Styela clava: one gene and its partners. The protein of the gene in region 3 purifies or fractionates together with the protein of the main gene of each other region. This does not show direct contact. Links are inferred from orthologs where the notes say so. Each region holds a gene or a part of one and is shown on either strand. Other genes may lie near its edges.

Evidence for each region. The genes of interacting proteins can lie anywhere in the genome.
Region 1: the proteins of 7SK snRNA methylphosphate capping enzyme-like (region 3) and cyclin-dependent kinase 9-like purify together in Homo sapiens (affinity purification with mass spectrometry; 10 studies listed by BioGRID and IntAct, counting the BioPlex papers as one, with this or other methods). This does not show direct contact. The link is inferred for Styela clava from reciprocal best matches to the Homo sapiens genes MEPCE and CDK9.
Region 2: the proteins of 7SK snRNA methylphosphate capping enzyme-like (region 3) and U4/U6 small nuclear ribonucleoprotein Prp4-like purify together in Homo sapiens (affinity purification with mass spectrometry; 4 studies listed by BioGRID and IntAct, with this or other methods). This does not show direct contact. The link is inferred for Styela clava from reciprocal best matches to the Homo sapiens genes MEPCE and PRPF4.
Region 4: the proteins of 7SK snRNA methylphosphate capping enzyme-like (region 3) and RNA N(6)-adenosine-methyltransferase METTL16-like purify together in Homo sapiens (affinity purification with mass spectrometry; 3 studies listed by BioGRID). This does not show direct contact. The link is inferred for Styela clava from reciprocal best matches to the Homo sapiens genes MEPCE and METTL16.

What each region holds. Positions count from the first base shown.
Region 1 is NC_135257.1:5,451,676-5,459,978, reverse strand, and holds the start of cyclin-dependent kinase 9-like, read left to right. Parts: upstream 1-5,129; 5' UTR 5,130-5,389; coding exon 5,390-5,478; intron 5,479-5,705; coding exon 5,706-5,787; intron 5,788-6,113; coding exon 6,114-6,220; intron 6,221-6,393; coding exon 6,394-6,496; intron 6,497-7,103; coding exon 7,104-7,234; intron 7,235-7,555; coding exon 7,556-7,730; intron 7,731-7,904; coding exon 7,905-8,021; intron 8,022-8,094; coding exon 8,095-8,303. UniProt on the Homo sapiens protein: Protein kinase involved in the regulation of transcription.
Region 2 is NC_135254.1:14,595,870-14,603,459, reverse strand, and holds the start of U4/U6 small nuclear ribonucleoprotein Prp4-like, read left to right. Parts: upstream 1-4,416; 5' UTR 4,417-4,489; coding exon 4,490-4,637; intron 4,638-5,034; coding exon 5,035-5,153; intron 5,154-5,845; coding exon 5,846-6,013; intron 6,014-6,093; coding exon 6,094-6,176; intron 6,177-6,624; coding exon 6,625-6,718; intron 6,719-7,094; coding exon 7,095-7,248; intron 7,249-7,590. Other genes in the region: 5'-nucleotidase domain-containing protein 3-like, read right to left, coding at 471-865, 1,818-2,068, 2,587-3,038. UniProt on the Homo sapiens protein: Plays a role in pre-mRNA splicing as component of the U4/U6-U5 tri-snRNP complex that is involved in spliceosome assembly, and as component of the precatalytic spliceosome (spliceosome B complex).
Region 3 is NC_135252.1:268,419-276,776, reverse strand, and holds the start of 7SK snRNA methylphosphate capping enzyme-like, read left to right. Parts: upstream 1-5,231; 5' UTR 5,232-5,251; intron 5,252-5,962; 5' UTR 5,963-6,228; coding exon 6,229-6,472; intron 6,473-8,358. UniProt on the Homo sapiens protein: S-adenosyl-L-methionine-dependent methyltransferase that adds a methylphosphate cap at the 5'-end of 7SK snRNA (7SK RNA), leading to stabilize it.
Region 4 is NC_135263.1:14,653,484-14,661,193, forward strand, and holds RNA N(6)-adenosine-methyltransferase METTL16-like, read left to right. Parts: upstream 1-5,236; 5' UTR 5,237-5,241; coding exon 5,242-6,621; 3' UTR 6,622-7,036; downstream 7,037-7,710. Other genes in the region: GPN-loop GTPase 3-like, read left to right, coding at 3,591-4,424; uncharacterized protein LOC120340733, read left to right, coding at 7,103-7,193, 7,559-7,698. UniProt on the Homo sapiens protein: RNA N6-methyltransferase that methylates adenosine residues at the N(6) position of a subset of RNAs and is involved in S-adenosyl-L-methionine homeostasis by regulating expression of MAT2A transcripts.

The sequences.
Region 1 (8,303 bases), on a different chromosome or scaffold from region 3:
TAACTAAAAATTCCAAAGCGTAAGATTGCATAAGCGGTCTTATTTGTAAAAAGGCACAAAACACGCCAGACATAATTAAAACAGCTTTGGAAATGAGGATTACGGGTACCTCACTGCACCTGTGTTATATTTGGTTCATCAACTTTTGGTAGTACTATAGAAGAAATTCCGGAAGGGGTATAATCATCATTCATGATAAAATACTATCATATATTTTTTGAACAACTTCAATCTAGACCAGGGATCTCAAACTCGCGGCCCAGAGAACTTCCAGTGCGGCCCTCGAACGCTTAACAATAATTGTAATAGTATTTTGGAAGTTTTTTTTTTTATCTTAATGTAATAGATTTTTCAAACCTTCTAAAGTGAAATTGATTATTCACACAGAAAACAATTTACTGAAATTAGTTTTGGAATATTAATTTTTTTTGTCCACATTTTGACCCAATTAAGAATACACATCAAGCTAGCAAAAGAATACTTGAATAAAACACTTGAGTAATTAAATTAAACGCAAAGTACATGAAGAAGGTGGCATTTTCGAAGAAATGGGAGTTGTAACATTTCTGCTCTTCACAAAATTCTGAAGCACATTGTTTAATTTGTCATATTTTCATCAATACAATCAAAAAACACAATAAGCTCAGCAGTCAATATGACAAATTCGAAGACCAACTTCGAACAGAAAATTTCCATGTGTTTGTATATTAATATAATTATACAACGACTTAGTTACTAAAAATCAATATCAATAATAATTCAAGCAATCCTATGCCACGCAATGTAGTGCGAAATGTCTTGTCGAAAAAATCTGTCATTTGTTTTTTACTGATCTATACATGAAATGATAAAAGTAACTTTTTTGCATTACTGGAATTAATTAAACATTCGTAAAGATCCAGATAAACCCATGATCATGTGGCCTCGTTAGTTAGAGTTGGTACTATAAAATCATTTCGAACTGGCCTTAGTATGCTGGTGACACAAAAAAGATGCCAAACGCCAGGACAAATGTAATTATTAAAACATTGAGTTTATACTGTAGTATTTTTGTTAATTTTAGGTTCATATATTTGGATTAAGTTATTTTTAGTGTATGTATTATTCTTTCCTTATTCAAAACTTGTTCAAAAATGATTTTGATGGTTGTACATAGAATTTTACGATTTTTTATAATAAATACTGTAACTTGCAAATGTTGCAATAATAGTGGAATGCAAATATTAATATGTAATTGCATTTGAAATTGAAGAAAATAATAAAACTTAATCCAACTGTTTAGTTGCATCACAATATATGTCACAAACTAAAACTATCTTAAAAATATCTTTTAAGTATACATTATCAAAAACTGTTTGCGGCTCTTTTTACAATTTTCAAAATGCAATGCGGCTCTCAAAAACCCATGAGTTTGACACCACTGATCTATTCTAGACGATTCAAGCATTGCTTTGGGAAATTATATCACTTCAATTAAATTGAAATAATCTCGCTATATTAAATACAAAATCGTTGCTGTCATAAAGGTAAACCAATTCAGCCACTCGAAATATATTGGCCTTCACAAAGCCATGGAGGCAAAATTGAGAGTTCATGAGCTATGAACATTTGTTCTTTTCTTTGTCTTGAACTTTTCATACTCCACAGCCCCTATTAGTTTTTTTAATTTTAATTACCATGTGATGGTCATACATATCTTTAACTTGTATTTTCTGTCATGATGTATTATCTCAATGTGCCAAACTATTAATTAGTGTGCATATTTTGCTTCCAGATGACATAAATGTATTGTCATGTTTATTACCTCAGCTTGGAGTATTGACAAGAAAAAGGTGCCAGTAAATTAGGCAAAAAAATTTTCAATTCATTGTTATAATCAGAATTCACAATCAATAGGAATTATAAACAGCCAACAATCAGTGAGAATTATATGCGAAATTCCTCAGAATAAATTTGTCTAAAATCGGAGGAAGACAAAAAATATAGGTAGTTTCCATCCACACAAGCATTTCAAGAAGACTTGCTCGAGCCAAACTAAATGAGCATCGTCAGGTGATCGGTAAGGCTGCAAGTTGAATTCAGCCCTGCAACCTCCTGCATAGAAGATAATATTAATTAGTGGGCTATGAGCTAAATTCCTAAATTTAAACAAACCTATCTACGATGCATTATGTACCAGCAATGTTACCTACGATTAACTGAATATGTAATATGTCTAATAAATTCACCTACAAAAGCAAGTTCGATAGGTGCAAACCTTGTGTTATGGAATTGTATCGCAGCACAGTTTTGTATGACACCCTCTTTAAATGAAATTTCAATGATTAAGCGCAAACAATAAAATTACTAACTTTGAACTTTGTCATTATTTGCAAAATGTTCCACACAAATCTTTCCGCTATCGCGTTTGTAATCTTCTCTGATAAAAAAAAAACGTCTATGATGTCCAGAATTGCTCTTTACAGCTTCCCTGTTATTCCAGCTTTCCAAGTAAGCAAAACTTCTTAGATATAGAAATTATTTTGTTTCGTTACAGGCGCAAAAAGGCAGGTACTACACGTAAAAAAGACGCCGAGTAGCAAAAGCGAGCGGAAAACGGACGCGAAAGGCGACGAGAAATATGTGCATTGGAGCGTATCATGAAATATAATGTTTCGCCTGTAGTCTTATGGAGTGACGTCAGAGTTGCCTATCATGTTGTTTAATGTCATTGGACAGACAGAGAGGATCACATATTTCTCCTAGTGAAAGCGCCTTTTTCGTAAAACGTGCAACTTTTGGAAATGGGAACAAATTATTATTTGTTACTAAATTTCCTAGAAACATTTTAAAATTATTCCCAAGTACCGGTAGTTCCCTTATGTGCGCTACGAATCTGAAAGGTAAACGGCCTCGTCTCGCTGCCTAGGAGGATTGTAGAAGGCATACCGTACCGGTACCGGTACAGTATAGCTGTATAGATCAACTTCCAAAGAGTGGGGCGTAGAGTTGGTATACAAAGATTCATTTAATAGGATAGGATAGGATTTATATATTTATCCCGGGGGAGAGGAAAGCCGATAAGACGGCTTATCCATATGGCGAACCACGGCCTCTCGTCCGGTTACCATTCCAAGTCGGGTACCGGTATGGGATTAGCTTTACTGTATTGTTTGTTTTCGGAAGCATGGACTTGGTGGTGGAAGAAGCCGTAACCGACCAGCGGTTACGTGAACCACCCAACGACGGCGAGGAGTCCAGCAATCCTCTCGCACATAACCATCCCTGCATGGGATTCGAACCTGCGAACCCACGCAGAGTAATCAGAGGTGCGGTGGCGAGCGTATTCCTAACGCTTAGCCCGTTGAGCCACACCGCCGCGCCTAGTTAGTAGTAGGCTACCGGTAACAGTCATTAACATGTCCAGTAAAACATATACACCCGGTTAAGCTATTTTACGAGTTGTTTAAACATGATTTAAGATTGTACCAGTACGGTATATATCCTGATATCCCATACCCGACTCGGAATGGTACCGTAACCTGACGAGAGGCCGTGGTTTGCTATATGGATAAGCCGTATCATCGACTTTCCTCTCCCCTGGGATAAATATGTAAGTCCTATCCTATCTTTGATGAACTATTGATATTTTTATTAGTTAGTAAGATGGGTACTATAAGGATTTTATGGGTCTGGTATAACACATGCACTTCTAGTTGGCCTGGCTCAACAATTTTTGCATATGTCATTCCTAAATCATTCAAATAATTACGTCACTACGAGTCCACAGTGGCATAATAAATACCGCTAAAAAGTGCGGATGGTTGTCCGAAACGCGCAGACAATCACTCGAGATCCAGCAAGCTATTTTTCTCGTTGCAACGATCCCGATATGAGAGAGACCGCTGGCGTTAGTGAGTTCGGTATCGTCGGCGCAGATGCCATTTCGAACGATGGTAGCAATACTTGGCAAGCTCTATGATGTGATTGTGACGTAATTTATGGATGACATAGTCAGGTTGGGGTTAGGAATAACATATACAAAATTCGTTACACACCGGAAGTACTTGTGGTACTATACTAGACCTGGAATTTATTATATATAAGTTAACTACTGTTCTAGAAGAACTTTGGCGAACCCATGAAACAGTTCCACTGAACCCCAGTGGTTCGATCGTTCCCAGGGTATAAACACTGACTTAAAGGTATCTCGCATGCTATCTCAACACATCACGTGTGCCGTATGTGTATTGATATTTACAAGTTTCAACTTTAAAATTTTTGTAACACATCAAAAAATTTTAATTATATCATAAGAGCATTTTAAATTTTTAATCTAGTGAGAAATGAGGACTTTTTAGAGCATTCTCGGAGGACGTAAAATTTTCAACGAAAAAGGAGGACATACTGACGTATGGTCACCCTAGTAAACCATATATGCTGTCAAGAGACTTTGTGTTTCTATGCAGAGAAAATTTCTGGGGTTAGAATATCCCGGAGAAGGTCTATGTCTGTATGTAGTCAAAATTATTCTGATTCTTTCATTTTTTCCTGTATCACTCGTTTATATAGAATTTATTTAAAATGTTTTGCACTTCCTACTCAGAGCGTAACTGCTTAACAGTTGCTGGGAAAACGGCAAAGTTGTACCATACAAAAGTTTCATCTTCAACTGGTGAACCTGTCAGTTGTTCTTGTATTTTGAATTACACTCCTAATGGAAATACAATGTCTTACTTATTTGTTGGTTTATTGCCATGGTTATTGATGTCTGTGGTATATATGTTCTGGTATATGCCAAGTAAATTTATACCAATACTCTGGTTGATTGTTGTTGTTGCTGTATCTGCATATTTACATTTTGCATACCTGATTGAAGAGAATATTTTGCTCATCAGAAGATATGGCTTACAGATTACTCGGACTTATTTTACTGGGCGAAAAGTTTATGAATTTTTTCCGAAGATTCTAATTAATGACATTACCATGAAACAAGCTGTTAAAATGCATCAAATTGTTTGTTTCATCAACATACAGACTCGTTCTGATAACATCTTGCATGTAAAACCAATTATTTTATCTGTCATCGACGAAGATACACTTAAGTTTGTTTACAAAGACATGCAAAATGTTTTGTTTTACAATCGTACATAAAGAGCATTTATAAGTTGATATTTAATAAAAGACATTCTGTAGAACAGAATTTGAACATATTTCATAGCTATGTCACTGTGCTGCTGTGTGATGGTTGATTGCTTTTTTACAAAAATTTTCTGATGCAACAGATTTTGTTACTATTAGTCAAATTTTGATCAGTACCATCAGTTTTCAATGTTTTTTGTAAAATATTTATCTAGTATTTTTACTTACTACTTCAATTAACAATTGATTTCAAATTGAGTATTTGGCCATGAGCAAAGAAGCCAGTTTGGACTTTCCATTATGCCACGATGTTGCCAAATATGAAAGAATCACAAAAATTGGACAAGGGACTTTTGGGTATGTTTAATTTTTTAAAGCCATTGTTCGTTATCCTAATAACGTATTCATGCACTGTTAACAAAGCGTATTAATTATTCTTTCTACTCTCTCATGGTAACAGTTGGTCTGGTGATCAGCTGGAGCAGAGTTGTGGAGTCTGGTACTGTGTAAATATTAAGCTGAAATATTTGTGAAACAAAAAATGAACTAATTATGATATGAATGATAAAGTTTTATACATACAGGGAAGTATTCAAAGCAAAAGATAAAAAGACTGGACGGTATGTGGCACTGAAAAAAGTGATTATGGAGAATGAAAAAGAAGGAGTAAGAAGAATGTTAACATTATATATACATTTATAGAAGCCCATTTCTGATTGTAACAGCTGGTATTATTTTAAAAGTGTATTGCATCTTGGGCTAGTTCATAGACATCGGTCAGAGATTGCTGATTTTCTAACCTAACTATAATACTAAATTCTGAAAACTGAGGACTATCATCTGAGAAATGAATATTGTGATAGCAGCCAAGCAACTATCAGTCATTTTCAATAGCATGGCAACGCATTTTTGTGAGACTTCTGTGTATTATATATTTTTGTAAAAACCAACAAATTTGATCTTACCCTAAATAGTTATAAATCTTATCTCAGTTTCCGATAACAGCACTGAGGGAGATTAAAATTCTGCAGCAATTAAAACATGAAAGTGTGGTGGATTTAATTGAAATATGTCGTGCAAAGCCTACTCAGTATAACAGGTTAGTTTGTATTTTGATTTTTTCTCGACCTTGTTAGTAACATACCAATAGTGCAAATTGAGATAATACAGTATATAAATATAAGATATTGTATGTTTATCACATCTAAAACACTTTGTGGTATTTGCATGTGATAATTTTAACCATAATTACCATATTTCAATAATTTTTAGGTATAAAGGATCAATATATCTTGTGTTTGAGTTGTGTGATCATGACTTAGCAGGATTATTGAGCAATGCAACTGTGAAGTTTACACTTGGGGAAATTAAAAAGGTAAAATGTAAGTTATCGTTAATTAGGAGTGAAATAGGTTTTATTATTGTTCTCAGAGACTGTATATGTGGGAAATTATTTCCCGTACAGTGCTTAATTCAGTTGAATATAAAGATAGCATCTTGATTTGAGATGCTCGATTTTATTTTTAATTACTTATTTCATTTTACTATTCCTATCATTAATATTGACACTAGGAGATATGAACAGGTATCAAATAGGATATAAATTCTAAACTAGCCAACCTCGATTTGATCTCAGGCTAACATATGAAACAAGAGAGCAAAAATTAGCAACAGTGACAATTTTACATTAGGTTCAGATTATTTCGACGATTCCCTCTAGTGGTCAGAGCTCAGAATCATTTTGCATGACTAATCACTTAATGTATGCTTCTGCGCCAGACCGCTAGTGCGTTTATGTTTAAGAGTAGGGGTTCACAACCTGTGAGAAAATGGAAGTTGGTATCATAAAGACATCACACATTTGCGCACTCACGGGCATGCTGTTGATATTAATGGCATTTTCACAATTTGAAAATTTAATGGTCAATTGCTTGAATGCTCTTTCCTTCCTAACTTATAGCACAGCGTATTCAATTGTTTAGATTATGCAGCAATTACTGGAAGGATTGTTCTACATCCACCGCAATAAAATATTACACCGTGATATGAAAGCTGCAAATATTTTGATTACAAAGACTGGAGTCTTAAAATTGGCCGATTTTGGTCTTGCAAGGTATCGATTTTCGTTAAAATACAATTTTCAGTAGAGGCTCAGGCAAGAAAAATAGGAGCACTGGAAAGAAGTTCATTGTTAAATAGGGTGATGTTTAACATTTAAGATAATTGTGTGGTGGTGACCACAAAGATATGAACTGAATTCTTTTTATTCGTTTTTATATTGGAGTATCTTTTCAGCATTGTTCGGAGATATTTTGATGTTAGCAAAGTTGTCAATAAATACCGCTGTGAAACGAGAAATGCGACATGAAATTCATTTTCTTTCAAAATAAGTAAATTTGAAGTGCACTCATACCTTGTTTTTTTACAAATACAGAGCTTTTAGCTTCACGAAAGTTGGGCAAGTCAATCGGTATACGAATAGGGTAGTTACATTATGGTATCGACCTCCTGAACTTCTTCTTGGTGAAAGGGACTATGGTCCGTCTATTGATTTATGGGGAGCTGGTTGCATCATGGCAGAGATGTGGACAAGGAGTCCTATCATGCAAGTATGTGTCATCCATATTAAAAATTTTCAACTTTGATTCCAAATCATAATATGTCACAGACTCTCATGTAATAAGCCACATTCTCATGAATCTGAATGCATTATTCTGAATAAAATTTAGCACAATTACCAATAAAAACTGACTGGTCAATGTACTGTAATTTCTTTGTCACAGGGTGACACAGAGCAAACACAACTTAAATTTATATGCCAGCTTTGTGGATCAATTTCTCCTCAAGTGTGGCCTTCTGTAGAAAAATATGACTTGTATAAAAAGTTTGAGTTGCCGAAGGTAAGTTTACTCCATCATTTTCAAATTGTAAATAGTGTGGTTTTTACTTCCAATTTTGTACTATTCTTCACAGGGCTCGAAAAGAAGAGTGAAGGAGCGTTTAAAAGCATATGTGAAAGATCAATATGCATTGGACTTGATTGATAAACTGCTTTGGCTTGATCCGAAGAATAGGATAGACTCTGATAATGCATTAAATCATGATTTTTTTTGGACGGAACCTCTCCCTTGTGACTTGACAAGCATGTTGTCTCAGCATAAGACATCAATGTTTGAATATCT
Region 2 (7,590 bases), on a different chromosome or scaffold from region 3:
CCTGATGATATATGTAAGGAGCAATTTTCAAAAAAAGACTAATCTTTAGCCTTGCCTACTCAATTTTTTATGCCCAAAGTGAGGTGATGATCATGGGATTTCAACCAGCGATGTGTAACATGCAAACATAGTTAAGTCTGAAACTTCAACCTCTAGGCCAGCACGATGGGCTTCAAAACCAACTTCAGACATCTAGCTTGGCCACATATGGAGAAAGGCAAGAAAAGATAATGCTATTGCTTAGCCCTGCAGTAATAAAGTGATCGGACAAAACGATATAACGCAGCGACAAGAGAGCGAAAAACATTACCGTATATATTTTTATACAAGTGAGTGCCTTCTAAACATACTCTCGGATTCGGATTTTATGCTTGATTGGGGAAATCTGAGTGTTGACAGGGGCCGGGTTATGGCACGCGGGCCGCCTGTTGCACACCCCTGCTCTAGGTCATCACACAATGCAGTCTTACCTCATGTCCACTCCATCCAGATATTTGCATCAAGTCCTGTATACAACCTCCATAATATACATTGCCTTTGGTGAATTCATGTACCCTCTCCCATGATACAGTATGGTTATTATCTCCATTGTTACCGTTTCTAGATGATTCTATAATCTTTTTAAATGGCCTCTTGTAATTTTGGAAGAATCCTGGCTTTTTTGCTTCAACGATAATAACATCAAATGCATCTCTCCAATCTTTCCCAATAAGATGCTTCATTCCAACATTAACAAATTGCAAGTTACTGTTGGTAATGAGAAATAACTTTCTTCCATTTGATGTTAAGTGATCAATCAGATGAGTTAAACTATTCTTTTTAAGATACTTATCCACATTACCATAAACTTCTTGAAAAAGATGGCCTGAAAAAGAATAATGATTTGTTGGTTAACACCAGAGCTTCAATTTCAGAGCCATAGTAGTGATGGTGCGGGCAAGCCTGCAACGCTGCAAGGAATTTTTTGCTGATTCAGATGACATAACAAATAATGACAATGTGAAGTGAGAAAAAATGGGTTTTAGGCTAACAACCATTTTTCAAAACCCAATTTTACTCACTGTAAAGCATTTGCAATAATGATGCAACGTCTACAGGTCATTAATGTGAAAAAAATTGAAATTGATATAGCTGTAAGACTTGACAGCATTTACTGATATCTACATATCAATGCACCATACTAAATTCTGTCAACAAATGTTGTTTTACTTTGCAATCAGGCAATTTCAGAGGACAGTGTTATATACATTATGGGATACTCCGGCACACATTAATTCCCCCCAGTTCGAACAGATCTTCATGGCTGAAGATTGGTATCGTGGGGTTGGGTACAATTTGTTTTTTGTACTTCCTGGAACAGTTGTCATAGTTACAATTTTAGTCAACCAGGTGTTGTTTTATATCTATTTGGAATCAGATTTAAAGTTTCAGAGGCACAGTCAGGTTAATGAATAATCAGCATTTAATGTTAGGTTCAAAAGGTTACTATTGTTAAAAATGAAAGAATCATTCTCACATCATCAATACCTTCTAAACTTAATCAATTACAAATGATGATCAGTATTAGACTATTAGGTGTGAAAATCATGCAGAACTATATCCAGTACTTGAAAATTAATGAACAGGTGACTTAACATCAGAGATTAGGTATAATACATAATAGTCATTAATGAATTATATAGGGAATTTCACCAAAGCCTCGAAAAGAATTATATCCTGATTCATGATTTCGGGTTACAAAATTAATAACTTGATTTATGTATAGTCGTCGAGCTTCAATTCAGGTATATTCAGATCTACTATAAACTAAAACATACCTCCAACATGAACTTGCTTGACAGCTGCTTGCACACTCTCAAATAAAATCTGTGGGTCATAAGTTATATTATTTTGGACAAAATACTCTACGACATTGGTGAGCAACATCATTTCAGGCATTGAAAATATATCCAGCAACTGTCTGAGAGAATTTCCTCCAAAGAGAGATTCATCCATGATACGTTTTGGAATATGACGACTTCCTTTAAATAGAGACAGTACTTCATCTTCACTAAGCTGTTTTAGCCCCCTGTTAAGAACAGATATTAAAAAAATTTATATGAGTATTGATTTTCAAAAATAAAGAGTTGTGCTAATTTTTTCCACTACTGGCTTGACTTCCGCCTCAGCTGGTCAAATGAAAAAATGCCTTTTCTCTATTGTATAAAATATATCTCAGATGTATTCAAATATTCGATGCATTCACAGCATCTGGATGCTATCAATTCTATGTTCAGATATGGGATCTTCATATTTATCCTGGGGCAGTGGAAAGCCAAGTAGACGTCTTAATCATATTGCAAGCATGATCACTCAAACTCGAAATAGGTGAGCAAGTCAATTAATACTTGGATGACAAGTTTTCAAACCTTCATGATTCGTAACTTTTAAAGACACTGAACAAGTGGAAACGTTTTTTTATAATTTTTTTTTATGGCTGGTGAAAGAATCTGTATTGGACCAGCAAATACGTGACCTGCACACTGCACCGCTGTCATCCTTATCTTTGTTATTAACATGTGATATGTAATATTCAAATTGTTTTACCTGTACACTGAACCCAATTGAATGACGTGACAAGCATCTATTTTCATGAGTAAACTGCGTTGAATGTCATAATGAAGACCTCTAATGCAGAACCCTGGAACGTACTTGTAGTTCAAAAGCTCTTTGGGAAAATGGAACTGTTTGTGTAATATTTCAGTTGCTCTGTCATATATGAATGTTTGCATGTCATCAGAATAATGAGCGAGAGTATAATCATAGTCAAATCCATAAACTTTTATTTCTCCCAAATTGATTTGATTAATGGCAAAAAGTCCACGAGGATTAACATTGCAAATCTGTTGATGGTCATCAAAAATAAGAGCTCTCAGTTCGTTATAACGATTCTGCATAAATTCTTGATTTGAACATGACTCTTGTGAGAAAAAACGTGGACATATACTCCTTCCTTTCAGTCGACCAATCAGCGGCCTTAAACAAAAACTTGTTGACATTGTGGATCACCTGAAAAGCACAATTATGGTTTATTTTCATTTCTAAAACATATCACAAATAAACGGCCAAGTCTATATCAAAACAATTTTCAACATTCTCATAAAAATAATTTACTTTCAAAATGCCTCAAAAACAAGATATTTCAGAAAGGAATATATAAACAAATTACTGAATTTACTGTCATACATTCAACCATGAAAATAATTTTATTGATAACTGTCATTGCTCTGTTCGTATCATACATCCTAAAGTCTGTAAGCTCTATGTTGCAATCAGCAGTCATCCCACTGCAGCACTGTTGTGCATTCAGGCATTGTCTCTATTTCAATATTGCAGTATTGTGGGTTATTTCATGTTTCAAAAGCTATATTTGATTACAATCGTACAAATTCTCACTGGTATGCCTACATCAAAAACTACATGCATAACGACTCACCTAAATAGCTTTTTCCGTTAACAGGTTAAGTAAGACAGCGATGAAGTCTGCAAGCCAACAATAAATCCTGAACTAACTCGATTGCCAGAACACAGTCTCTGATTGTTCCGACGTTATTTTCAAATATATTGTCGAGGCATTTTAAAAAGAACTCATCCACACCACTGTTTATTATTTGGAAGACAACCAACATCCAGACATTGCTCCCCACCTGCCCACGGTGATACAAACGCAAATAAATGCCGCAAGGTCTGAAGATTGCACAACTTTATACCGTGCCGACTCAAGCATTAACCGGCCAGACAGTCAGACAATATTATTTGGACCAATCGCCGCATAGTCTCACTCTAGGCTCCGCCCACAATGCGGCATCTGTTGAAATTAGTTTTTAATGCGGTTGTTCCATTCAATCCAACGACTAACGTACCGATTCAATCCTATCACTTGTTAGCGTGCATGCCTCGCACTGGTATATTTATAGCATGAAAACGATTACATATCTTCGTCTATAGTTGTTCATAATCAATCAGTATGAATTTTCTGTTCTTTTCCGGGACTGTGTTAGGATTCCATGCGCATTTGTTGAAATCGGTTTTTCAGTGTTTAGGAGAGTTTTCGAGGCCACTGTTGCTAATATTCCCGTCTGCATGTGGGAAAGTGTCGTAGCCATATTCTGAAATACATTCATACCTATTTTTCCGGCTTTTCATAATCAATCAGTGAAGATTTTCTGTTTGTTTGGTATTAATTTGTAACGTGAGTAGGGGATCATCTTGGCGCGGCCGATTTCGAAGGTACCGTGGTAAAACAGATTTTCCTGTTTGCCCATTCAGTCATTGATACTACTGTACTATCGTATGGGATATCTGGTTTTCGCCTTGTGCTTATACGGTACTGTTATAAACCAGTAAACACAGAAGTTGACTGGGAGTTAAGAGAGTATTTTACTTAACAGATTATTATCTGGATATATGCATGAATAAGTAAACTGTTCCAAATAAAAAAGACAGAAGGATGTCTGACTCCGATTCTGATGGTGAAGCTCCAAGAAAGATTAGGAAGACTGTCCAATATGGAAGCATTGAAAACAGAGTCGGTATGTCTGGGGAAGAAGCAATTCAGCTTGGAATTAAAGCAGGAAATATTAATATCACCAACATGAGTAAGTATTGATAATATATGTTATGAATTCTGCGTTACTTTTATCACTGTATTACAGCATTTTTATAGTTTTTTGTGAACACAATTTACATGCATTTCTCTCTGAATAAGGCTGTATACAAGCAGTCACTTATATTGGGGTACACAACACACGAGGCCACATCTTGGTAAAACTAAATTGATATACAGATATACTAATATCAACTTCCATTGCATCAGAATTTTAATTAGGAAGTAGGTTTTGCTTCAATTTGGACCCACTATTTAAATATGTGGTTTCAACATATCTAAGTGCAATGCTTTATCCACTGAGCTGTCACTCTAACTTTTTACGCAACATAATTTATTATGTTTTCAACTGAGAATTTTGCTTCCTATTCAATTGAAATTTTTAACAGGTGATACCATGGAAATGTCAATTGAAGACAGAATAAATAAACGACAAGCAGAAATTCTTGCTGAATTTGAAAGAAAGAAACAGCTACGACAAATCCAAGTTACAACAGATGACGTAGAGGTATTATTATATTGGATCGACTTAAGCGTCCTGAAATTGACTACCCCAACACATTTTAAACTTAGTATTAAATTATAAATAAGGATCCCCAAAATCTAAGTAAATAACTCTTCATTATGAGAATTCAATATTATAACTTCCTATGCTTAAGATTATAAGTTTTTTTTTCAAAACATTTACCTTTTTAGTGGAAATCAAATCAAGTCAAAACTGAATTTGGCTTGGACCATGTTCTGTTTACATAAAATTAATAGCTTCACAGAATTTGTAAACAAAAAAACTATGCATTCATAAATAATATGCATAGGAAGCCTTATATCCTTACTATGATCTTCAAAGACAAATTATTAAAAAGCCCCATTTTTGACTGTTCATTCAAATGTCATGTTTTATTTTTTAGTCAACAAACTTCATCAGATTTAACTAGGAATAAAACTTTACAAACAAAAGTAATGATTTTTTACTAATAGGGTATATTCCTAGTCAGAGGATTTTCATACGAAAACTTTTTTGTGGAACTGCTAACACTTACATTCTTATACCCGCATTTTCTGCTTCGTACAATTCCATCCCAACTATCGAGTATAGTAGCATAATTCCAGTAATAATATCTTTTCAAGTTGTTGTTTAGGCCCAATTTGTGTTAAAAATTGGAATAATAGCTATTAGACAACATTATGTGATTAAAATAGGTGAGAAAACAACTTCGAGAATTCGGCGAACCCATAACCTTGTTTGGTGAAGGTCCTGCGGACAGGAGGGAACGTCTCCGTGAGATTATTGGACTCATTGGTGAAGATAATTTAAAGAAAAACAAAATTTCAGAGAAGCAATTGTTGGCCCAGAAAGAAAAAGAAGAGGTAACGTTTAAACTGATTAAGAGATTGTGATTGAAAGAACGGATTATGTGTAAAGAGGCTTATAATATTCTTCCTTTTAGCTCGCTAAGACAACATGGTATCACGAAGGTCCAGAAAGTCTAAAGGCAGCAAGAATGTGGATTGCTGACTTTTCTATTCCAAGGTAACTTTTTTGATTTTTCAAGGAAAGATTGGATAACGTAGTATTGCTCAAGTAAGAGAGTAATGATTATTGATCACACTGATAAAATATAAACTAACCTGATAAAAGTGGTAATTTAGTAAAAATATAGAGTAAATTAGAAATTAAATACTTTCTGTGTAAACTAGTGGTGCCAGTTCATTATAAATTGAAACTTAAAATATACGTTTATTCGAACCGTTTGTCCTGAACAAGGCCCTATTCAAGATGCCACTGATATATGAAGAGCCACTATTTTTGTGGAGATCCAAGTCTTTCCAGTTCATCATTGCCTACAGTGGGGATGGGATTTGAACCTAATATGTGTATCACAGTTAAGTCAACTACTAGGCCATGGCATATTATTGTAGTTTTGATATTGTCAATTTTTGGAAAATTTTTTACTGAAATATATTATATATTGTTTCAGGGCGAAGGCAAGGTTGCAGAAAGCGAGAGAACAACAGGAGCAATCAACAACACAAAAACATGCAAGGGTACAAGAGATACACAGGCATATGCGAGTATGTTCATTGACAAAATCAGCTGTTACTCGAACAGAAAATTATATAAGGACTTGGACTTGATATTCCATAAAAGTCGAATTATTGAATTATTTTATATTGTGCACTGAAATGAGTAGTTTATAGCGTGGCTGTGACTCCTGTGAGGTAAAAAAAATGAGGTCTCGGAGCTGAACCCACAGTTTGAATATACTGTGGCTCCGTAATCATTGTGATTTTGCCAAGCCAAATCAGTTTTCAAGACCTGAGAGTAAAACTCAAACCACATATTTTAGTTGGTTATCAGCTTAGGTAGGTGTTGGAATAATTGACCAACTGTACCACAAGCTAACAAATATGATGAACAAATGATCAAATATATTTACTTTTTTAATAGGCGGTAAACAGTGTCGGAAGTCAAATCGGTGATTCAAGGCCAATATCTTCTTGTAAATTCAGTCCTAATTCTAAAATACTTGCAACAACGTCATGGAGTGGTTTGTGTAAACTGTGGTCAGTTCCTGATTGTGAGGAAATTAATACTTTAAGAGGTATGTGATGGTAACTGTTGTTCTTTTAATTGTATGTTACAGACAACAAAAGTAAGAAAGTTAGAATTTGATATCTGTATATATGCTGCTTCTCAAAATTATTTTTCATTTGAAAAATATTCAATGTTTGGAATTTGGGTTTTTTGTCATCCCTAATGGGCCTAGGGTCCAAGATACTAACTTGACTGGGTTGTCGTCCCAAGTTGAAAATAATGGGTTTCAAATTCTAGTTAGTCTGATTAGTGCATGGCCCACAGAGTGCCTAAGATGCACTCAAAAGATGAGTCTCTCAAGCGCAGTGTTTCTTAATCTAAGGTTGATCGAAACCTGCAGTTCGGTTGA
Region 3 (8,358 bases):
TTATCAGTCAATGTCGGGTATGGCAATGTTTACATCTATTTTATTCCTAATATCATGAATAGTTGAGGATTTACAACGCGCATAGCGTTAATAAATTTAAACATAATTCTTTAAAGGTGTTCTGTAAGTTGTTTGAACTAACTTGCATCTGTTCGAATGATTTGAATAACAGACTGGTCGAGAGCTTGATGATACAAGTTCAGAAGTTTGGGTAAATACATGAAATAGGAAAATGTTTTGCTGGTCGACAATGCAACTAGTAGTAAATATTAGGGAAGATTGATCTGAATAGACCAGTGCTCGTCAACCTTTTTTGGAGTGGTACATCCTTTTCACTCTTTCTTAAAATCTGGTACACCCCGCCCATCCTACATTTTTAATACGTAAATAATGTTTAGAAGTTATATATATATATGTTTATGTCGACGTAATAGTTCATCATTTAGTTAATGTGAACGTTGTTCTTGGAATACATCATCTAGTTGTACAGAGCGAGATTATAATCTTGTTTCCAGTGCCCCTCTCATTAGTGTATCGACTACCTTGATTGAATTTTTTTGGGGGTTAAATTTCAATGATTGCAGAAAACATTTGTTTGTAAATGTATGACATTCGTACGAAAACGGTGAAAGCGTTTTGTGCAATTGATTGCGATACTTGGGAACTTCTAGTAGTGCTGCCCAAATTCGTTGTAGTTTTTATTCGTTTTGTACTCTGCATTTTGTACCGGATCTGATCGTAGTTCAAGCAGTTCGCCAGTGAGGTGGGCATTAGCAACCTCTGCACTTGCGAATGGCTGGACGGGCCATATTGGAGAACCAAGATTCTGATATTCAACAACCGTAAAATAGCTTCGAAGTTGAGCTGCAGCACGTCAATATGCTTGTTATATGTACAATTGACGAGAGATGTACGGTTGTATCGGTATCGGGTATGGGAAATATCAGCCAAATTTTTGGTATCGGTAGTGTATAGGTATCGGCTAAATGTAGACCGATATTTCCGTTATATTAAGCTTTTTAATCTGATTCAGATTGTTTTTAAAAATAAAATAAGTTAGAGAACTGAGGTTGAAATTATTTTTTGCGTGAAGCGATCATGTTCGCGGTATTTATCTCATTAAAAATATATTGTAGATCACCGTGTATACTCTAGTTCAGGGTGGTCCAAGGTTGTCGGCTCCGCGGGTCACAAAATCATTTTTGCATTGTTCGCGGGCCACAATAGTGCCAAGAATAGGTAAACAGTGCAATACAAAACGAATGCTTTTATTGTGCAAACACATAGCTATCAGACATAGCCATCCCAGGCTAATAGAATCTACATTCTATTTTTAGTTTTCTATGATGCCTACATCGTAAGCATATATTCCCGGCCAAAAAGATAGAAAGCCAGATAATAATTTAGACTGCCAAGCGCATCACTCAACTTTGCTAGTTACCTCAGCTAGCCATAACACTAGTCAGTTTAATGACATTAGTGATGTAACAATATGTCAAAAGATTTTCTGATTAATTTTATTACAAAACAACACGGAATGCGTTTTTTTTATTACTCTCCGAATGTGACGCGGGCCACAGATAACGAATCGGCGAGGATGTGGATTAAACAGCACTTGAATACGTTATTCCACAATGTCACATAGAATGAATGTGAAATTTTTTTTGACATGCTTCCCATTATCTTTAAAACTAAATTAAAATATCACCCGAGAACTGTATCTATTTTTAACCCAAGAAAAGAAGCATAGTACGGAACAAAAACACCCATTGTTCAATCGAACCGGACCTTACTAATGTCTTTTAGATTTTTTGCAATAACTTTGACTTGCCGTGTCGTAGAAAACAGTGATTCCCAACCGCAGATTACTGCCGGTCTACCGGAAATTTTGTTATTTCGACATTTTCTGCCTATATTACTGTTTGGTTGAATAAAATACAAAGTTATATGAGTATGTTATATAATTTGTTTCTGTCGTTAAGATCTTAAAAATGGGGTATTGATTGTCCGTTGGCGTCTCGTCCGACGAGGAATCACACTTTTCCCTTCCGATCAATCGCGAAATCGTTCCATGATTCTAGCAAATTTCTAAAGTCTAAAAGTCGAGAAATTGTTTCGGTTCACATCGTCCGAATAAAACATTGTTACATAAGTATCGTCGTATTTAGACAACAAAATAATTGGACCTTAAAATAAGAAAACATGTGAAACATGCCCTCCTCCATTCAAATTTCCTTTGTACAAAACGTCGAGTATATTTTTAAACTATTCACCTGTAAATGTTCTTCATAGAACTACGTTTGGTACCAAGAAAAAGTATATTTTCATTTATAAACCAAGCAAGACTAATAATTTTTTTTTTTTTTGGAATTTATTTTAAGCACTGTCGCAGGTGTTAAATTGTGCAAGTTTTAGAACTTGGCATTGATTGATTTCTGATTTCGAGTTTGATAGAGGCAATTTTTGCAAACTTCCGGCACAACCCTACTGAAGTGTTTGTTTTTCATTGAGTAAATATTTGATGACCTCATGATTAATTTTGTTTTGGATTTGTTACTGACACGTAGAACTCCGGCACTGTCTTTAGAAACAAACCCATATCAACTTCCTATAACAAAAAATGCACTCATCAATTTTGAGAAGCATTCTGCTCCGCAAAGAAAATAACAAACGTTTTCATTGGTAAACATGTATAATCACTCAATATATCAAAAATCATAACTTCATAAGTAATCACACAAAAGTTGAGACTCATTACATGGTTTTTCTATTTCAAACTTTTGTATTATTTTACTTTTGAATCAACAGAGAAATCTACAATATTTTAACACCGAGCTGAAATTGACAAAATAAATATTAATATTTCGAAATATTCTCACCAATTCTCAGAGGATCTATTGCTTTCTCACAAAATATTACGATTCATCAACTCTGTCTATATCTACACGTTTCGTCACAGACCCCGACGTTTTGTTATTATTCCGAATCCTCGATATATATATTTTATACGATGACGAAGATTATCAACTTTATTGTTAATTGTTTTTTTAAAAGACAAATAAAATAATTGCTACAACTTCAATTTCATTTTATGAGTCGGAATCTTGCTATTAGTTTTAAAAATAAAACACAGCTGAATTGTGATTTCAAATATTGCTGATCAAAAGATATCTTGAAAACTAACGGCCATCGAATGTCTAATTTGGGTTAGGAAAACAGACAGATCGCAATCGAGAAAACTCATTTCAAAATTTTTCCTTTCGATAACCAGCGCACTTCGGCGTAAGCCTCAAATCATTTGCTTTAATGTCTTTGCTAATTTCTGAAAATATTCTGTGCTTCTTGGAATATGCGACTGAACAAAATTAATACCTTTTATGATGTCACCGAGAACAATATCCAAATCACTTGTCTCACCCTTTTTATAGACTTTAGTTAGATCTTTTACGTCTTACGAGTACAACAAGAGCCTCTGGATATACCGGTATGTATCCTTAACAAGGTATTGAACTGCTACTAAAGGGTATAATGACGTTACACTTATGACAAGAAGATTACAGAAAATCGAAAAATGCCGTACATAAGTTTAAATGTATAGGTTTGATAGATATTACATACCATTGCCAATTTTAGCGTTTTTAATGCATAAATATGATGAAGATATATTGAATAAAATATTGACACCCACCAACGCAGCTTTGGAGCAAGCTGCTGCAAGCGCTACTGATGAAAAGGGTTCGATGCTAATAAACATGCTAATAAACAAAATTTTGCAACTTTGGAGCGTTTTGGGGTCGTTTAATAACAGTATCAATTGCCTTGAAATTTTCAGTGATCAAAGTGATGGCGCCGGCGCGAATGAATTTTCTTCCAAAACTTACACGACAATTATCACAGGTAAGCTACTGATTTTTGAAGCAAATTGAAAAAGTTGCATAATTTGGTGTAAAAACGACCAAAACTTAATTCTTAGATGACGATTCGCTAACGAAGCTGACACAATGCCAGTATCCATCGGACATGGGAAACTTCATTGGCGTTGAAATCAACGCACAAATCAAAAAAATTATAATAGACGCAGGCCCGTGTCGACCCCGAGGGCCTTTCCCGAAGAATACACAGCGGAAAAAAAGGGGGGTTTTCGTATCATATTACACAAAACAAACAAAGAGAAAAGATTTGAGTTTTTCTGATATTTGTACAGCCTTGGTGATCATTCTAACGTTGCCCGTAACTACCTCAACTGCCGAGAGTTCGTTTTCGAAACAGAAATTAATAAAAAATTATCTCAGGAGCGCGATGTCGCAGGAAAGGCTCTGTGAACTGGCGCTGCTGAGTATTGAATCTGAACGCTCGACCCAAATTGATATGACGAAGATGGTGGATGAGTTTGCTAACGCGAAAGCGCAAATTTTAGGTTACCATTGCCTTCTTATACCGACATGTTATGCTTTTTGACGAAATAAAAAAATAGTAATTTTCTACTTTGAAATTTTGTTTTTGATAAATGAAAATTAACGATATCCCCCGAAAATAAGCCCTAGTGTTATTTTTCAAAAAAAAATGAAATAAGACACTGTCTTATTTTCGGGGAAACACGGTATGTAAATCCTATCCGTCGATCGCTATGGAAATACACTACACCCAACCCCCGTAATTTAACAATACCGGTACATTTAGAAATATAAGTAAGTATAAGTTTATTCCGACTCCATAATCAGCAATAGACGATAAAATAATTGATAAAAACTAAATAAATAAAACTGATTATAGAATCGGGAAAGCAAACGAAAACTCAAGTAAGGTTATTTTAGGTGGGAAGGTATTGATAAAAGAAGTATTACGTGTTCGCTCACTCAAATAAAATAAATAAAAGTAATAGTGTTTTAGCGATAACGACAATCTTCAACTCACTGAAAATTTAGGACAACATAAAAAAGAACACTACCAACAACATCATAATAACAAAACGATCCATTGGCCCATTTTGTGTCCAACAAACAAGTTAAAATCGGTTTTGAAACGTCAAGGAAACGTCGCCGCGTCAAAACGTAGAGATTACGTTCGCTCGACTGACTGTAGTCACGTGATACATCGGTTAAAAACGCATGTACGACTTCAACATCTCATTACGGCGGGTTGCCTGGGTGCGTTCGGTTGTGTCAGCGTTAGCAGTTGAGGGAGTGTTTTCGTTCGTTTAATTAATGTTGTATCAATGGAGAGGTTTATCTGCACAAGCGGTTCCATAATTGTGAGTATACGCTTCGGGCTCTCTATATAAGTTTTTTTTTCATAATACAGATCAGATAGGCGATTTGTAACTGTAATCAGGCGCTTACATTTTCGAGAGAGGAATTGGAGGGGCGTGGCCCTGGTCACGACCACACTGGAACGAGATTTACTTCACACATCTGTTTGGCCGATTGCGCCGTCAATCATGCGATTGCAATATCACGTAAACAATGGCCAAATCAAGGAATATTGCCTCGCAATGATTTACATGTGTTAATGGTGCTTAGGTTAGTTTAATGCTTGGCACATCATTGACCTATCACATAGCAAAAATTGGAATTATTAAGTTGATAAGAAATTATGTGTGGAAAACAGTTTAATTATATGTCTGTTTGCTAGTTCAATTAATCAAAAATTAATCTTGTTATTTTTATTTTCATTCACTTTCATCAAATATCTGTCTAATAAATTTAGATATAGGCCTATGGTCATTCTATGAAGAACAAAGCCAGGGAGGATCCATAAAAATCATAAATGTTTTTTAGTTAGTCCATTTGAAATGATCCAGCTCTTATTCATTTTTGGTATTTTATTGTTTGAAAACATGGAAGGGTTGCATATAATTCGATATTATTTAATAGGCCTATTTGACTATGCACATCTGGGAAATTCCGGGGAACTAAGAACAAACTAGCAAAAAATAAAAGTGCTCAATATTGTTTTTTTACAGGTTCTAGCTTCTATCCATTATCTTTCAATTACATGCATCATGAATCATTTTGTATCACAAACTTCATTAATGAATTTACAGTCTGCAAAAATAAAGACCATCATTTTAGACAAATAACATAAATTTGTCTTTACTGTGCGAACTTAGAGACACTATTGACTAGTGCATCTCATCCTAATCAGAATATATTCTAGATCTGCATCCAAAAATACTCTGTATACTGGTATAACAGAACTTCATAAAACGACTGATCGTTTCAATTAGCAATGGCAACTGTGCAAACATTATCTCCTTCATCAGAAGGAAGGTGCATTTTACAATTGTCCAATACTGATACCATTATCACAAATGAAGAAGACTTTCTGAAAAATGACAATGGCATAAATTTTTCAAGTGCCCCTGAATTTGTTGAAAGTGAGGAAAATGTTAATCAAATTCATCAGGCGGGAAATAGAGGTAGAGCAAGAAGACGCAAGAGAAGGAACAGTTTTAATGAACATTCTAATATGGGTAAGACAATTTTTATAAACATGCTTATATCAATCAGATAAAGAAATAAAAATATTTCATAAGTGTGTATAGGACTGGTCAAAGTATTCAAATAGCAAATCTTATATTATGATGTTCGAATGGCACTTTACTATTCATGTACCATGTGTACCATCACTTTGCTTGGGACAAGGAACTCTCATGTTGCAAAATCGATGGCCTGGAATTGTACGAGAATTTACCCACGGCTTTCACAAACAGACAGAAACGACAAATTTGTATAATCACAAATTCAATATCTTTGCGTTGAGATGTTTTTTGCTTTCTTTTTTCGCAATTGTATCATTTTCAATCGTTTATTTTGCTAATAAAATGTTAAAATGACATTCTCAAGAGACCATGCATGTCGGAAAAGGAAATTTAGGTCATCAGAAGATGTGAGTTATATAAATAGCATCAATTTGAAAATGGCAACTCAGATTTTTAAAAAGCATCACTTCTAGCCTAGATAAGGCCATATCCCTCTAAATTGACTTTCTATTAGCTTGGCATGTATTTTCAGTGATCTATTCCTCCCTTACAAAGTAATGTTTTGAAAATGTAAACATTCACTTGGCCATGCATGGTGGTAAAATTGTAAACAATAGGAGACGATGTAATGAATCTTGAATATTCTTGTAACAATGCCCATTGGCTCGTTTACGACTTGTTGCGCCCAGCCTATCATCATCGTAAATGATACATTATTTCTACATTTTGAAGCTTTTGTGCAGTAATATTTAGGGCGTGACCTAATCGAAATAGGCTAGTTAATTGTTGAATTTTCAAATTTCGTAAATAAAATTGTGAATTTCTTGGTAACGATTTTAGCTGTAATAATGATCTTAACCCTCAATAGACACAAAAGCACTTACCGGTAATAACTTCATCTCGCCCAATGACCACATAGAAATCCCTATTATTTACTATTTTAAATCAAAGCAACATTCAGGATTCTAGTATCACAGCTTTGCAGAGTTATCTATTTGATACAAAAATAAGACAGACATCATAGAAAAGCATACATCAGTCAATTATCGTCCTCATAAATATCTGCAATCCGGTGTCGATAATGATAACATTGTTATCTTAAAACTAGGACAGTTAATTTACAAACAGTGTGTCCTTTCGATATCATGCCCTGATGAAGTTTTTCTGTATAGAAATTCGAAACGTCGGCAAATTACATCGTTTTGTGCTAACACCGGTTGTGCTTCATTTATTATCAACATGAGTTTACCTGGTGGCAATCACGCACAGTGATAGGGAGGTCAAAGCCGACACGAATGATCATAATAAAATTAATCAGGTCCTGAAATAACACCTCAATCTGTCATCAATATGAACACACGTATAAATATTATATACATCGTATAAATATTCAAAATATAAAAAGAATTAATACTAAAAAGAGAAATGGCTGGAATATATCTTATCAAATTTACGTTTTCGGTCGTTAAATCAAACGGGATAAATATAATCAGCGGTTATGTCAAAATTAACCAGTATAAAATCAACGTTGTCATTGAATTTGCAATGTTTACATTATTTAATTTTAAAAGGGAGTATGGACCTCTGACGTTCTGGATTCCTATTGTGTATTAAAAATATTCGTTATTCGAAAAAAAAATATTCGAATTGTTTGATTCGAAAAAGCTATTTGATTTTGCCCACCCCTACTTATGTATTTGTATAAGCTTTGTTGTTTTTTATGTAACATTTCTTATATCTCAGTGATTTGAAATAGACAGACAACAGACTATCTTTCAAATTGTATTAGTGGTACTTTGGATCTGTAGCAGAATATGCGGAATTGACTATTTCTTTGCTCAGGGATAGAAAACTGATAGACTTGAGATAATGAGGAT
Region 4 (7,710 bases), on a different chromosome or scaffold from region 3:
AGCAAGCAAATAAGATCTTGCAGCAAATTTTTACTCCTATGGCAAATGATGATAAAGGATTTATGTTGGATCCAAACGTTCCATTCTTATCAAAAGAGAAGCAAGTTCTGTCACCTGCAAAGAATTTTTGAGTGATATTATGCATGATCATAGATTTGATGCAAGTACAAATCAGCATCTTATTCTCTCGAATCCCATTGAAGTTTGAAATGTTCAAACTGAAGTGCCGAAAGTTGGAGGCGCAGTTCTTACCACTTCATGGCAGCTCCTGCCACGAACGAACCGCGGCAACTCTTGCCATGGTTTTATAGCGCTATCCAGTAATCAGTATTAACGGTATATTCACAAATTAATGTACCAGATTTCAAATGGTCATGCGGAATAATATCTACTTAAAGTTAAACCCTACCCTAACCCTAAATTCATCAAAACTGTATCCATAAGAAAACGTTCCAACTTACCCAATTTTTGTCACCATAAGGAACAGCCCTGTCTTTACGGCCCACCTGCCGTGGTTATGGCAGCAAAATTTCACCTGCCATTGGTTTCCAATTTGCTGCCGCGGTAACGCCAGCCTGTCATTGGTTTGTGGCAGCTAAAAAGTCAGTCGCCATAGGTTTGGCCGTAGCGGCCATGGTATGGAAATATCGTCATGGTTTTGCGGCAGCTGCAGACCCCACAGAATACTTAAACCTGCACTTGGAAAGTCGAACCTGTAAACAGGTCAGCAGCTCATGAAATTAAGATTGAGTCACCGGGTACTATAAGAAGCCATACCAAGATGGAATATGGTACGCCGGATCACACTGTTCATGCAATGGCGCAGCTGACGCAAGCTTTACAGGGAGGAATGCTGAATGTAGCAAGCAAGGTTTATAAAGAACATCATGGTAACAAAACGATCCATAGGTACATTTCGTATCAAACAAGACAACAACATAATAACACAAGATAGCGACGTAAAAATATATGGACACGTGAGCATTTTGCCAATTTCCGAAAATAATACCACAGTCCATCGTTCGACATGAAAAACTTCCCACTTTTGCTAAGTAGTAGATCCATCGGCAAACGCCGAGCACGGAATCAGGTGGCGTGCGTTCGCAGAACGTTCGGTCACGTCATAGCAAAGAAAAAAAGAATTCCACAGAGCTAACAGAAATATATGAAATAAATAAAAGTCATGGCCTTCTAGATAGAATTCTCCAACCACTGAAAATTTTGAAGATATTGGTCCAGTAATCAAAGATAGAAGCGACTTTTTAAGTTTTCTACTAGGTGTCCAAAAATAATGCAAAACGATCGCTATATCCACTAACGTGTAACGATGCATAGGTCCACTTCGTGTCAAAAAATAAACATCAATGTGGACAGGATATTCCCAATATTCGAATCCAAAAACGTTCGAAGCAATGGCTGGTAATCACCAAAATTTTTTGTTGCGTTATATTCTCATATTAGTCCCTATTCATTGATAAATTCATAGTTTTGCCCCCGGGACCGGAAAAGTTCAAAAAAATCTTACCAAAATTTTAAATTTTTCCACAATTCTCAATATTCGAACCCAAATAAGTTCGAAAAATCGCAGGAAAGCACCAAAATTTTTTTGGCCCGTTGAGTTCTCATATTAGTCCTCTATTCATTGGTAAATTCATATTTTTGCCCCCGGGACCGGAAAAGTTCAAAAAAATCGGGTATCCCACCAATGTTTTCACAGGAAGCATCGCAGGAAAGCATCAAAATTTTTTTGTTGCGGTGGGTTCTCATATTAGTCCTTTATTCATTGGTAAATTCATATTTTTGCCCCCGGGACCGGAAAAGTTCAACAAAATCGTTGCACAATTCCCAATATTCGCACCCAAAAAAGTTCGAAAAATCGCAGGTAAGCACCAAAAATTTTTTGTCGCGGTGAGTTCTCATATTTGTCCTTTATTCAGTTGGTAATCCATATTTTTGCCCCCGGGACCAGAAAAGTTAAATAAAAAAAATCAATTTGTTTTTTTACCAAAATTTTCAATTCTTGCACAATTCCCAATATTCGAACCCAAAAAAGTTCGGAAAATCACAGGTAATCACTAAAATTTTTTGTCGTGTTAAATTCTTATATTAGTCCTCTATTTAGTGGTAAATTCATATTTACCATGAATCCACGATGAATATTGTAAAAATGTAAATATAACTTCTGTTCCTCATTTTACGATTCATGGCACACCCTGGTATGACACCCGGTAGAATGTTTAAAACATTTGGCTGGAATTTTGCTGGCATTGCAGTGGCGTAAAAACAAAAACAAATGTGATTTCATGTATGTACATTATTCTTCAATACTTTTTTTTTATTTGTCACTTTCTCTTGCTAATAGAACTTTTTTTCAATGGATGATGGTGTTGAATAATGCATATTTTCTGTACTGATGAACACATTTTGTTACCATGAAAACATTTACCGGTACTGCTATTTTATTGCTCCACGAGAATTATTTATTCATTCCCTGTTAATATTTATCAATTTTTGGTTGTTATGCTTTTCATTACACCCAGCTTAAGTAATTACTACCGGTAATTAGTTTTCACAACTTTTTCACTTTTGTGAGAGATTTTCGTTTTCCACTGTGTTATTAGTATTTGTTTTGATACTAACATTAAGTTTGATATCACGACCGCCATACTTACTTCCTTTGTTGTGTTTTCCATCACTAGTTCTTTTTGACAATTCACTTTCTATATTCTTCACTAGCGAATTATTCCACATGTTTTGTAAGCTGTTTTACACTGGTATCTGCAGGCAACACATTACAGCGTTATAAGAAGTGCTGTGACTGATCGTATTAACACGCATCGACCATATTTTGCCATCCCTAATCTGACATGCTTCGACTGTATTTTGCCATCCCTAATTTAACAAAATTAGACCGTATTTCGCCATCCCTGATATGACCTGTGCTACCAACCCCGCACAATTATTCTGATGAACTTGATTCATTATGCAAATATATATAAGGTAAATATGAGTACATCTGTTACCAAAATGAAGTGGAACTAATTCTTAAATTTTATTTTTATGCATTAATTAGAAGAGGGTAATGATACTTGGCATTACAGCATTATGGAACATATAATCTATGATGACACCAAATGGGATATGCAGATATATGAAGTACCCGCTATCATGTGGATACAACTGATCAATATAAATTATGGAAATTGTTATGTGTCATCTGTATGTAATGATTTATATTATTATTTTATTTATCATCAAAGAAAAAAGTACAATATAAGGGTTTCAAACTTGAAATTTTAAATTAATAGGCCTATTATAAAATAAAGTACTGTTTAAAAATTTATGAGCTGGAAAGGATAAATTTTCTTATTTGTGTGATGTATTGGAAATTTATAAATAATTAAAAAACAATTAGATGGTTGGAGCTGGAGCCACTGAAATTGTTGGTAGCTCCATCTAACATTTTAGGCTTGGCTCCAGCTCCACCAAAATGTCACAGCTCCCTGGATCCTCAGCCGGGTTTGAAACATAATGCCGCATTTAATTCAGATATTAGAATACAGATATTGAATATAGTTAAAATTGCCACTATGCCACGTTATGCTCAATTGGTGATGGGACCTGCTGGAAGTGGGAAAAGTACATACTGTTCAATGATGGTGGAGCATTTTTCGGTGCTAAAACGGAAATGTTATGTTGTAAACTTAGATCCTGCTGCAGAATATTTTGATTACCCTGTCGAACTGGATATCAGGGAACTTATTCATTTGGATGATGTGATGGAAGATGAAGAGTTACGATTTGGGCCTAATGGGGGCTTAGTATTTTGCATGGAGTATTTTGCTAAAAATATGGACTGGATTAAAGAATTCATAACAGACATGGAAGAGGATAGCTATTTTCTATTTGACTGCCCTGGTCAAATTGAACTATACACGCACTTACCTGTTATGAAAACTTTAGTAGAAAATTTACAAAATTGGGACTTTCGAACTTGTGGTGTATTTCTCGTTGATTCGCAATTTCTTGGAGAGCCAAGCAAATTCATATCAGGTACATTGTCTTCGCTATCCTGTATGATAAATCTTGAAATAACACATCTAAGTGTAATGACCAAAGTTGATCTTCTTTCAAAACATTCAAAGCGAGATCTTCAAAAATTTTTAGATCCTGAAATGCAAAATCTACTTTTAGCAGACATGTGTGATACATATCATGATAAAAAATATCAAAAACTTACAGAATCTCTTTGTCAAATTATTGACGATTACAGTATGGTCAGATTTCTTCCACTTGATAGATCTGATGAAGAATCCATTAATATAATACTTCAGCATATTGATACAGCTATGCAGTTTAGTGAAGACCAACCTGTTCGTGTAGAAGATTATAATGAAGATAATGAAAGGGATGCAGAAGACTAGGGTTGCTCCCTCTGCTGTCTATCCGGACGAAGCTGGGTATGAGTAATAAATAGGTCACGACCTTCCTGAACACATCCAAAATTGGGACCATCATCAAAAATCTGTGCACTATATTGTTTCACTTACAATTTCGAGGACAAATAATGGTTGATAACAAAGTAATATGGCGGCGAAAGAAGTACACGTCGTAAATGCTTGAATAAGCCAAACAGGTGGTGATATCATTTTGTCAGACCCATAATAAGCGCCTTTTTAGCGTTCTGATTTACTTGTTTTCAGAAGGCAGTGATACAATTTTATATCTTGGGTATATATGATGTTCCATCTTCGCTGAGTCTTTAAAATAGTGTGATTGTGTAACTTTTTCATAATATTTCTATATGTGAAAATTTTATAGAATGGAGTCTCAATTTCTGAGACATTTGAAATGAAATCTTGTGCTGAATGATCCTGTTCTATTGTGAGTTTATTTTATAGTCGTATATTGGAAAGTAATTTTCGCTTCTAGAAGTAGGAATGGCTCCATCGTTTTTTTTAATGCATAATTCTGTTCTTTACAGTATCTTATTTTGTATATTGGTTATCAAAAGGAAATGTGAATCTTTTGTGTTGCGAAATTGAACTTATATCTTGATTTTATCATCAAGATGCCATGTTTTGCATAAAAATCAGCTTCATCTTGTTGAAACTGACTAAATCATGTCTGTAATGGATTGTCTACATCTTTTTACTTTCACGCCATTGATTATATTTCTTGCATTTACATAATCATCAAGTTTTCATATTTTCTTGCAGATTTCATGCACTTTACTATGCTATGGCTTTGAACAAACACATGCACCCAAGGAATGGGTACAAAGATAATCCTCCAGATTTTATTGAACTATCGAAACAGTATCCTGAATTTAAACCATATGTCAAATACAATCCAAATGGAAAGGCATTTGTAAATTTCCGAATTCCGTCTGTTGTAAGAATATTAACAAAATGTTTATTACATAAGGACTTCGAACTTGATGTAGATCTTCCTTCAGATAGGCTTTCTCCTACAGTTCCATCTCGTTTAAATTATATTCTATGGATAGAAGATTTATTGAATGCTACTTCACAGGAATTTACCAAGCAAAGGCATATTGTGGATATCGGCACAGGGTCAGCCTGTATATATCCGTTACTGGGCATGAGAAATAACCCAGACTGGAAATTCACTGCAACTGAGATTGATAGTTTAAACTTCAAAAATGCTGTTAATAACATAGAAAAAAATTCACTAAAGTCATCGATAAAAGTTCTCAAAGTTGACAAAAGTGCTACAACTTCTTTGCTATTACATTTATTCCAAGATGCAAATGATGGATTTGATTTATGTATGTGCAATCCACCCTTTTTCAATGACTCAAGCGAAATAGAAACTAAAATCGGTCCCATTGCAAACTCATCATGTCACGCAAATGATGTTGAATCAATAACAGATGGTGGTGATCTTGCTTTTGCTCACAAACTTTTTGAAGAAAGTTTAGAATTAAAGCAAAAAGTTACTTGGTATACAATACTGATGGGAAAGAAAAGCAGCTTTGTTACATTCAAGAAGCAAATTTCTAAATACAGTGAAATTCTAGTTACAACATATGAATTTTGTCAAGGAAGAACTATCAGATGGGGCATTGGGTGGAGTTTTTGTTCTGATATGATTACAGAATCAAAATTGCCACGTTCTTCTCTACAAAACGCGACTAAAAACTCGGAAGTTGTTAAGCCAATTACGTTTTCTTTACGTAAAACATTAGAATTAAATTATGTGTATGACTCACTTAAAAGAGAACTCAGCATTTTAGGTATTTCATTCATGGAAATAGAAAATAACAAAAATCTTGTTATTTTAAAATTGCAATGTGAAAAATGTAATTGGGTTCATATCCGCCGACGATCACGGAAAAGAAAACTTGATGGCGTTTGTAATGGAGGTTCTGTCAAAAATCTAAATCTAATCGAGGAGTCACCTTTAACAAAAAATCATTCCGATTGCACATTACCAAATGGAGTTGCGTCAACCTTACTTCAATGTGAAGTTACAATTCTCAAAGATTTTTTCGATCATATCAAACTTCAATTTAAGACTGAAATTCGAATCCAAAAAGAAGTTATGAATACACTTGTAGTCTATCTAAAACGTATTTTACTCTCTGACATTACATAATAAAGATTTTTCAGTTCTGTTTATACTACCAGCTTTTTACATCGTTAATCTTTACTTAAAGCTGTTTTTAAATTTTTTATCTGCCCTGGTAATTTATTTTTTAATAATTCAGATTTTTTAAGATTCATGACTCTGATGTCATAGTATTTTTTAGGCAGGTATACTTTATGGTTACAGTAATTGGGGCGGTATTGACTTTAGGCCCAAATAATTTTTTCATGTAGCGAAGTCAATAAGATAAACCTGCTCAGTCAAACGGTCTCGTATCTAACAAATTTTGTGAAATTGATGTCATTTTTGAATAACTTGACCTGTTTCATTTTTCATTGATTACTGTCTGCCAACCAGCATGTAACACAAATGCAAGGACACATGAACCCCTTTTGGATATTACTCTGTACTCTTCATTTACAGACCTTACTCTAAAAGTTTGATATCATTGTTTCATCATTCCATAAGTTGTTTTATTAGATCATCGAAAATGTCGAATGAAAGCAGCCAATCTCTTGATTCTCCTGCCAACGAGGCAGTGATGGCTCGTCTTTTGGAATTGGAAAACCGAACAGGATATCGTAAGTTTTGTTGGTAATTTTAATGGAGATAAAATAATTTGAAACCAGGGCTGTTGAGCTTGTTTAAAATTACAATGAATGACCCCAGTTACAGAACCCCTTTATATTCTATCTGTGGCTCTGGCAAAGCTTTATTTTTTACCTCGAAGCTAGGCTTCTGCTCCATTACTTTTGTTGTTTATTGATTGATCGCAAGCATGATACATCAGCTCCTGGTTGTGGAATTTCAATATTATACTTTTATTTATTACTATTTTGGTTACAGATTAAAAATGATTGCTGTGTATATACTGTGCTAGTGCTATGTAAGTTTCCTTTGGAATAAATATAACAAATCCTATCCCATTGCATCATTTTTATCATAGGTATGCAACAATGCAATGGCCAAAGAAGATATTGGAATCCGAATTGGAGTGGACCTCCACCTGCTCGTGGAACCGAAGTTTTTGTGGGAAAGATTCCCAGAGATTTATTTGAAGATGAAATTGTTCCTGTATTTGAAAAGGTAATGTAGTAA